Arabidopsis thaliana: one gene and its partner. The protein of the gene in region 2 interacts with the protein of the main gene of each other region in a pairwise test. Each region holds a gene or a part of one and is shown on either strand. Other genes may lie near its edges.

Region 1 (3,757 bases), on a different chromosome or scaffold from region 2:
ATCTGCTGAACCCAGTAATTTGTGTGATACTACTAAAAACCAGCCAGCACCCTCTGTTGATGGAACTAAGGCCAATGTTGAACATGAAGCGACAGAGACCCCTTTGCGTGTTCAGGCAGAAAAGGAGCCAATTCGTCCTACAGCCCCAGGAACAAATGATAATACATCCAGGGTTCGATCTTCTGTTGATAGAAAAAGGAAACAGGGAACTGTGATAAATGAAGAGGATAGTGGTGTAGGTGTTAGTGGAAGGGACATTAATCTAACAAAATCTGTCGATACAAAAGAGACCATGAAGCCAAAGGATGAAGGAGGAGAGGAAGAGGATGGAGAAAAATCCAAAAAAGCATCTGACGTTCATTTAAACATTCGATTACCTGATGGTAGTAGCCTTCAGGAGAAGTTTTCTGTGACAAGTATATTGAGAATGGTCAAGGATTATGTGAACAGTAATCAAACAATCGGACTGGGTGCTTATGATCTTGCGGTTCCTTACCCACGTAAGGTGTATACTGACCAAGGTACGTAAAATCTACAATGCATCCAATAGATTTTTATTTTTATTTGGTAAAGAACATTTTACCTTAAAACCAGCTTCATCTTGATCGAAGATGATGTTTTCTGCCATTTAGGTTTTTTTTTTTTTTTTTTCTGGTCAGTTTGGACTAGTGTAGTAGATACATAACTCCATTACTCTTAATCTCTGCAGATCTGGATAAGTCTCTATCCGAGTTGAGATTGTTCGATAGACAAGCACTTGTAGTAGTTCCGCGAAAAAGAGCAACCGTCTATCAAAGAGGAACATCTTACTCGGAGTCTAACAACAACACAGACCCTAATAGTGGCGGTTACTTTGCTTATGTTAGAAGAGTACTGTCTTATGCAAACCCGTTTTCATATTTTGGCGGTGGTACTGCCAACGCATCAAGCTCTGTTCCAGAACGTCAAACAAGTATGCGGGAATATGATGAGTTTATAAAATCCATTCTAATGCAGAAAGTCGTGTAATTGCTAATCTGATTCTCTCTTTTTCTATCTATAGGACCAAATACGGAGGTGAGAAACAATCTGGGGCAAGTAGGGACGTCCTTTCAAGATCCATCAGAAGGTAGGAGCAACGTTAGGAATAGGAGACCAACCACTTCTCGGATTGGAAGTAACATCCATACGTTGAATCACAATGAAGATGAGGCTCCGTTTGGTGATGGAAACGCTTTTTGGAACGGAAACTCCACACAGTACGGTGGTGGAAGCGGTGGAGACAGTAATGATAGACGATGAAATAAGAGAAGTTGAAATCTGTGTGGATAGATACAGAAACAGCTCGGGTGTTTACTTTTTATACTTGACTCTTTATGAACCATTTAAGAGACCAGCTGCAAAATGTATCCTGATGCGTTTCCGTTTTTTCGGTTGCTCGTATTAAATTTAAATCTAAAAAAACTAGCAATTTCTGTTTGATTAAATTCGGTTCTAGAAATTAATTAGTGTCGTTTGATTAACTTCGGTTCCAATCATAACAAAAATATTAGAGTTAAATGGTTGCTTAAATATAAGAATCTGTATATTCTTTTCTATGCAAGTGAAGACTTCATTGAACTGTGAAAAGGCGTTCACTGACAGCTTCTTGTTCTCCTAGCGGTTTCCCTTGTGCTCATCCTCACACCTTCCAAAATATTATCAACTCGGATAACAAAACATATATATGTGATCAACCAGACAATTTTTTAATATATATTTCTATAGTCAACGATGAGTACGCATTTTAATAATCCGGTGAAAGATTAGTCGGACTAACTAAATAATTTTTTTGACATATAATAAACACTTGGACCCCCCAAATTGAGCCTTAAGAAAAGACTAAACCAGTTCTATTAGTTGCGTACAACTAACGATGATCAACTTGAGTGATTTATATCGGAGATCGTGGGTAGTGATACGGGTCAACAATATAAGGATTTAGAGATCAATTAGGAATTGAAGTTAAACCTTTTCAATTTTCTTAAAGTTCCCTGATCCTTATTCATTCATCGTATCCACAACCATTCTTAACATTGCCCATGGCTAAGACGCTGGACCTCTTTTGGCACGAACATCCTTTATATGAAAAATATCGTATGTTCACTTGCCAAGAGTGCCATAGGAGTGCTATACCCTTCTTTGAAGTTTTTTATGGATGCTTCAGATGCAATATAAAATGGCATCCCTATTGCGTGCCAAGGTCAACGAAGAATATTAACCACCCTTGTCACCCGAACCATCCCCTAGAGGTTCTCCTCCAAGGGCCACCTAGTTACTCTGACGAGAAGTGCAGCCTCTGTCAACGGAAACTCTCCAACTTCGTTTACCATTGTAAGTTATGCAATTTCAGCATAGATATGGAATGCGGAAACAGGCCCCCGCCCCACAAAGTGGATCATCCAAAGTGCCACGAGCATGCACTCACCCTCATGGGAAGGGAAGTATCCTTCACTTGCAATGCTTGTGGTACGCATGGTGAACGGAACCCTTATGTATGCCTACCATGCTCTGTCATGTTTCATTATGATTGTATTGATCTACCACACGTCATCAACATCAATCGTCATGATCATCGCATTTCACATTCATATCCTCTCAAACGTGGGAATTGGGTATGTGAAATCTGTCGTCAAGATATCAACACCACGTACGGAGGCTATTCATGCAACAAATGTCCAGATTTTTTTGTTCATTCAAAATGTGCAACTAGAAAAGACGTGTGGGATGGGACCGAACTCGAAGGGATACCTGAGGAAGTAGTAGACGTTGCGCCATTTGAAGTGATCGAGGAAGGGGTAATTTATCATTTCTCCCACGAGAAACATAACTTATTCCTTATTGAGGATGTTTTTATAGATGGTGCTGAAGACATGCATTGTGAAGCTTGCGCCCGTCCAGTCTCTTCTGAGAAGCACTACAAGTGCGTGGAATGCAAGTTTATTCTTCACGAAGAGTGTGCGAATCTTCCTCTTACGAAACGACATGGACTTTCCACAGGTATATTTTATCTTCGCTTCGGGAAGGATTTTAGCGAACAAAATTTCAGTTGTGATGCTTGCAATAGAGATGGAAGGGGTTTTAGCTACAAGGATGAAGAGGGTGTGGTACTCGATGTGTTGTGTGCGTCTCTCTCTTTCTTCAAGCACCCCAAACTTCATCCTCACACGTTATTTCTAACCACAATAGATCGTGGTACTTGCTTAGCTTGCGGTGAGAATAAACTCAATGTGCTGCGTTGTGTTGATTGTGATTATTCTTTGGATTACAAATGCGCCACTCTACCATTAGTCATAAAGCATAGGTGTGATACACATTATTTAGTTTTGCGCTCTGGGGAGGAGGCGCCTGAAGGTAAATATTGGTGTGAAATCTGTGAAGCCGAAACCAATCCTGAAAGATGGTTCTATACATGCGATGATTGTGGGGTCGTGTGCCATATTGAATGCGTAACCGGGGACTTTTTGAACATAAAACCTGGAATAATAATGAAGAACAGGGAGAATAAGTTTGAAGTGGGTTTCAACGATCACGATTCTAGACCAAAATGCACTGATTGTGGCTCTCGTTGTAGGTTCCCTAGGTTTTTCAAGGTTACTAGAAAAAATATTGAGTACTACTATTGCTCAAAAGCTTGTTTTCAGAATGCGAAATTCTGAATGCCTGAAGGAAGGCGAAAGGAAGGATTTGGAAACATAAAAAGAATATGGGTTTTTACAGATGGAGGCTGTGTAATGTT
Region 2 (3,757 bases):
TAAGTAAGGAACATTTTAGGTTGACATGTTTGTTCTCAGCTAAACCTATAGCATGTCTAAGGCCATCAATGTTATCTGGTAATATATGTATTTGATTTTCAGTCTTCACATTTTGTTGTTGACTTAATTTATGGCTCTAGATATACAGAGGGTTTTCCGTTCTGGACATCTTCATCCCCAGCCTCGGGTGAGTGTTCAGTAGGATATATGTATCAATCAGTTGTCTTGGATAAAACTTTTCATGTTGATTGCTTTGTATGAATCTTCAGCTTAAAGTATTAATGAGAATATAGACTCCTTTTTCTTATGTGTTATCTGTTCTATCGTATACCCCCAAAATACAGAACTGATTGTGCTATTGACGTTTATATGAAATACAGATTTTATGCTTGCAAGGTTCCCCAGATGGCCCGGAACAGTATGTTTCTTCCTTCATTTTTTTTCTACTTGCAAGATTTTGTCTTGTTTGTCTGGTCTCATTAAAAGGTTTTGTCATTCTTTCAGGTATGTTGCTGTTATGAACTCTATCTTCTCTGCCCAACGCTTGATGGTAATCTTCATTTTGATTGGTTCTTTGGGATTTCCGGTTCTTGATGTTCTCTAAATCCAGTATCATGTACCCAAATCACTTCATCAATTGGTTCTTTAGGTTCCCATTGATTCGTGTTACATAGGTGTACAGAACTCAGCATTTTTGCAGCAGGTAATATCATTTCTCCTTTATACATGATTCTAACTCGTCAAACTGGACCTATGCGTCAGCTGTTATCTCCTGGCTTATTTGTAGGCATCTTATATAACTGGTGGTGTACATCATACACCTAAACAGTTGGATGGGCTATTTCAATATCTAACGGTACGCAACTCAAGTCCAAACGCAAACCATTATGTGACTCGTCTCTCATTTAGCGAACTCAATACTCAATGGCTGCTAACTCTGGATTGTTTTGTTTTGCACAAAAGACAATCTTTGCAACCGATTTGCACTCCCGCGGTTTTGTACAACTTCCTAAACCCATAGGTGTAGATTTTCGCGCATCGTAAGTGATCAAGTCATTAACTCTTCAATTAATCGGGTCTTCCTCTGCATATATAACAGATGGTTTTAAGTACAAAATTTGCAGGTGCTTTTGCCACAAGAAGACAATAGATATGGGCTACATATGCTCAGTGTGTCTGTCCATTTTCTGTGAGCATCACAAGAAATGTTCAACCTGCGGGTAAGAGATTTGACCCGTCATGTTCTTTCTCAAGATAACAATCTATCATGTTGTTTGATACTAATATCGAAAAGCTTTTGGAAATTTGCAGGTCTGTATTTGGTCAGTCTAAACTTGATGATGCTTCATCTGCCTCTGATAAGAAGAGAAAAGCTCCTAGTACCTAAAATCATCTTTTGTGCCAGAGAGAAACTGCAAACTTTGTTTAATTGTGTCTTTGCGTTCATTTTCGATAATTTTTATACCATATATCAAAGTGAAATCAATTTTGCAAAGTTTTTGACTCTTTTTTTTTCCTTGAGATAGTACCCGTTGACTTGAGCAAACAAAACAAAAAGGCCTCTAATAGTCCATATAGAAAGTTGGGCTTCTCTATCGAATTTGAACGAATACGACATTTGGGCTGACGTCATTTATTATTGTCGGATCTATTTCGGGTCCAAACCCGTTTGATGGATCCGTCTCCTACCGAATCACTTCAGACGTGGAGAACGAACGAGACAGAGGGAAGAGAATCATCGGTGTGGCGAGCAATGGATTTGAAGAAACGGCGAAAGGTAAAAAAAATCTCGGAAGTAATGTGTATGTTTCATAGCACTCGAAATTTCGATCTTTGATTTTGTTCGAAATCGATAATTGAGAATTGTCGTGCAGATTTTGGAGAAGAAAAAGACGATTCATGACCTTATAAAAAGAGCTTCTTCCATTGACGATCCTCTTTCTCCGTTTGATTCTTTCCGCCGTTACCGAAGAAACGGTAAATTTGTTCTTCTGCTCAATTTTATTTTCGCCAGTTTCTCAAAAATATGGGATTTTGTTTATGCGAACTGATTATCATTGACAATGATTTGATGCATATAAACTTACTTTTACAATTCCTAATGTTACTACATTATGAAGTAGATGTAGTGTTAGTTGGAATTCGTGCTTTTTAACATGGATTTAATTATCTGTGAATCCCTTACTCATGCAGACTTTGGTAACCTATGATCTAGTGTGCTCTGATTAGTTGTTAGTTAGTTATGATAATGTTTGTGTGAATTTTGTTTTCAGTGCTTACTTGTTTCGTTTTAAGTTCACAGAAGAGTCTTGATGGTTAGCTAATTCTGTGTATGTGTTGTTCTTACGTCTTGTAGACTTATCTTTGTACCTGGAATCTGGCCGTGGAGATAGACTTTCCTCGTCTGTGAAACATCACATTCAAAAACTCTTGAAGGTATTAAAGAGAATGAAGTATCATTAAATTTTCTGAACATACTTTCTTAGAAATTTATTCTAGATTTATTGTTGTACTCAAATTTTTTTACCATTCACAGACGAACATGGAAGGGTTCTATGGGTCTGATTGGCCTATACAAGCAAAGGTGAAGCGTAAGGAGATGTCTTCCGCTGATGCACATTATATCTTTGTGCGTGAGCTGCGTTTTGGTAAAGCCTATGAGACATCTACTCAAAGAACTTGCATGGAAGGGTGTAATCAGATAGCTGGATTTGTGCATTACCGGTTTATTTTAGAGGAAGAGATACCTGTCCTTTATGTGTATGAAATACAGCTGGAATCCCGGGTTCAAGGAAAGGGACTAGGAGAATTTTTAATGCAGTTGATTGAGCTCATTGCTTCTAAGGTTGATTCCAAAATTAGTCTCTTATATTCCTATTTTTCGATATTGATGGCATTAGCTTCTGTTTTCAGATTCATAGCCTGATGATAATATTGTTATGTTCGTTTTCATCTTCTCAGAATCGGATGAGTGCGATCGTGCTAACTGTTCTAACATCTAATGCATTGGCAATGACTTTCTACATGAGCAAGTTAGGGTAAGAGGTACACCTTTTGGAAGATGATCTTATTTCATGTAACAACTCAGATGATATTTTTTGCAAGTGTTCATGGGTTCCTAATATTTCTGTTTCTTGCTGTAGTCAGTCATTTCTATTTCTCGACTCTTTACTGATATTGGCTCGTCCAAACATCTGAATTCCCATTCGTTTTTATACAGATACAGAATATCAAGCATTTCTCCCTCAAAAGCTAATCTTCCGGTACAGAATCAGTAGTCTTATTTTTCATTATTTTGTATAAGGCATTCACTAAAAGAACTTCTACAATTTTTTGTGTTTGCAGACTCTCTCGGTGAAGTATGAGATACTTTGCAAAACTTTTGATTCCGAAGCTAAATCTGTGTTGGAGGTTTGCCCTTTCGCTGCACCACTCACATTTATGACAAAACTGCTGATCTAATATAATATGTGAGTGCTTCTTTTGCTTTTTATCTTGGTATTGTATTATTAAGACTGCTATGATTGCTTTATTTTGCAAGAAGAATGATGAAGAACCTACCAAAGATTGAGTATCAAGCATGGAATAGCACATATAGATTCACTGTAAGTTTCCACTTTGGTCTACTGGAGATATCAGCAATCGTTTATTGTTTAGTTTTCTGAAAAATCTGTTGCTTGAATCTGACAGACCACAGAGGGGTGTGATAAGATGCATTTAGAAAACAGACGAATCCGATGAAGACTTGGTTCCTCCA

What was found. The genes of interacting proteins can lie anywhere in the genome.
Region 1: the proteins of AT1G18335 (region 2) and AT2G43220 interact in a two-hybrid assay, tested with the Arabidopsis thaliana proteins (one large-scale study listed by BioGRID).

What each region holds. Positions count from the first base shown.
Region 1 is NC_003071.7:17,962,280-17,966,036, forward strand, and holds the start of AT2G43220 (Cysteine/Histidine-rich C1 domain family protein), read left to right. Parts: upstream 1-1,939; 5' UTR 1,940-2,060; coding exon 2,061-3,677; 3' UTR 3,678-3,757. Other genes in the region: AT2G43210 (Ubiquitin-like superfamily protein), read left to right, coding at 1-521, 710-952, 1,043-1,281.
Region 2 is NC_003070.9:6,309,242-6,312,998, reverse strand, and holds the start of AT1G18335 (Acyl-CoA N-acyltransferases (NAT) superfamily protein), read left to right. Parts: upstream 1-1,625; 5' UTR 1,626-1,672; coding exon 1,673-1,777; intron 1,778-1,874; coding exon 1,875-1,977; intron 1,978-2,356; coding exon 2,357-2,436; intron 2,437-2,536; coding exon 2,537-2,845; intron 2,846-2,961; coding exon 2,962-3,038; intron 3,039-3,220; coding exon 3,221-3,263; intron 3,264-3,345; coding exon 3,346-3,462; 3' UTR 3,463-3,470; exon of another isoform or gene 3,471-3,544; coding exon of another isoform or gene 3,545-3,571; 3' UTR 3,572-3,605; intron 3,606-3,690; 3' UTR 3,691-3,757. Other genes in the region: AT1G18340 (basal transcription factor complex subunit-like protein), read left to right, coding at 141-187, 381-418, 505-550, 650-703, 788-856, 964-1,040, 1,125-1,220, 1,312-1,387.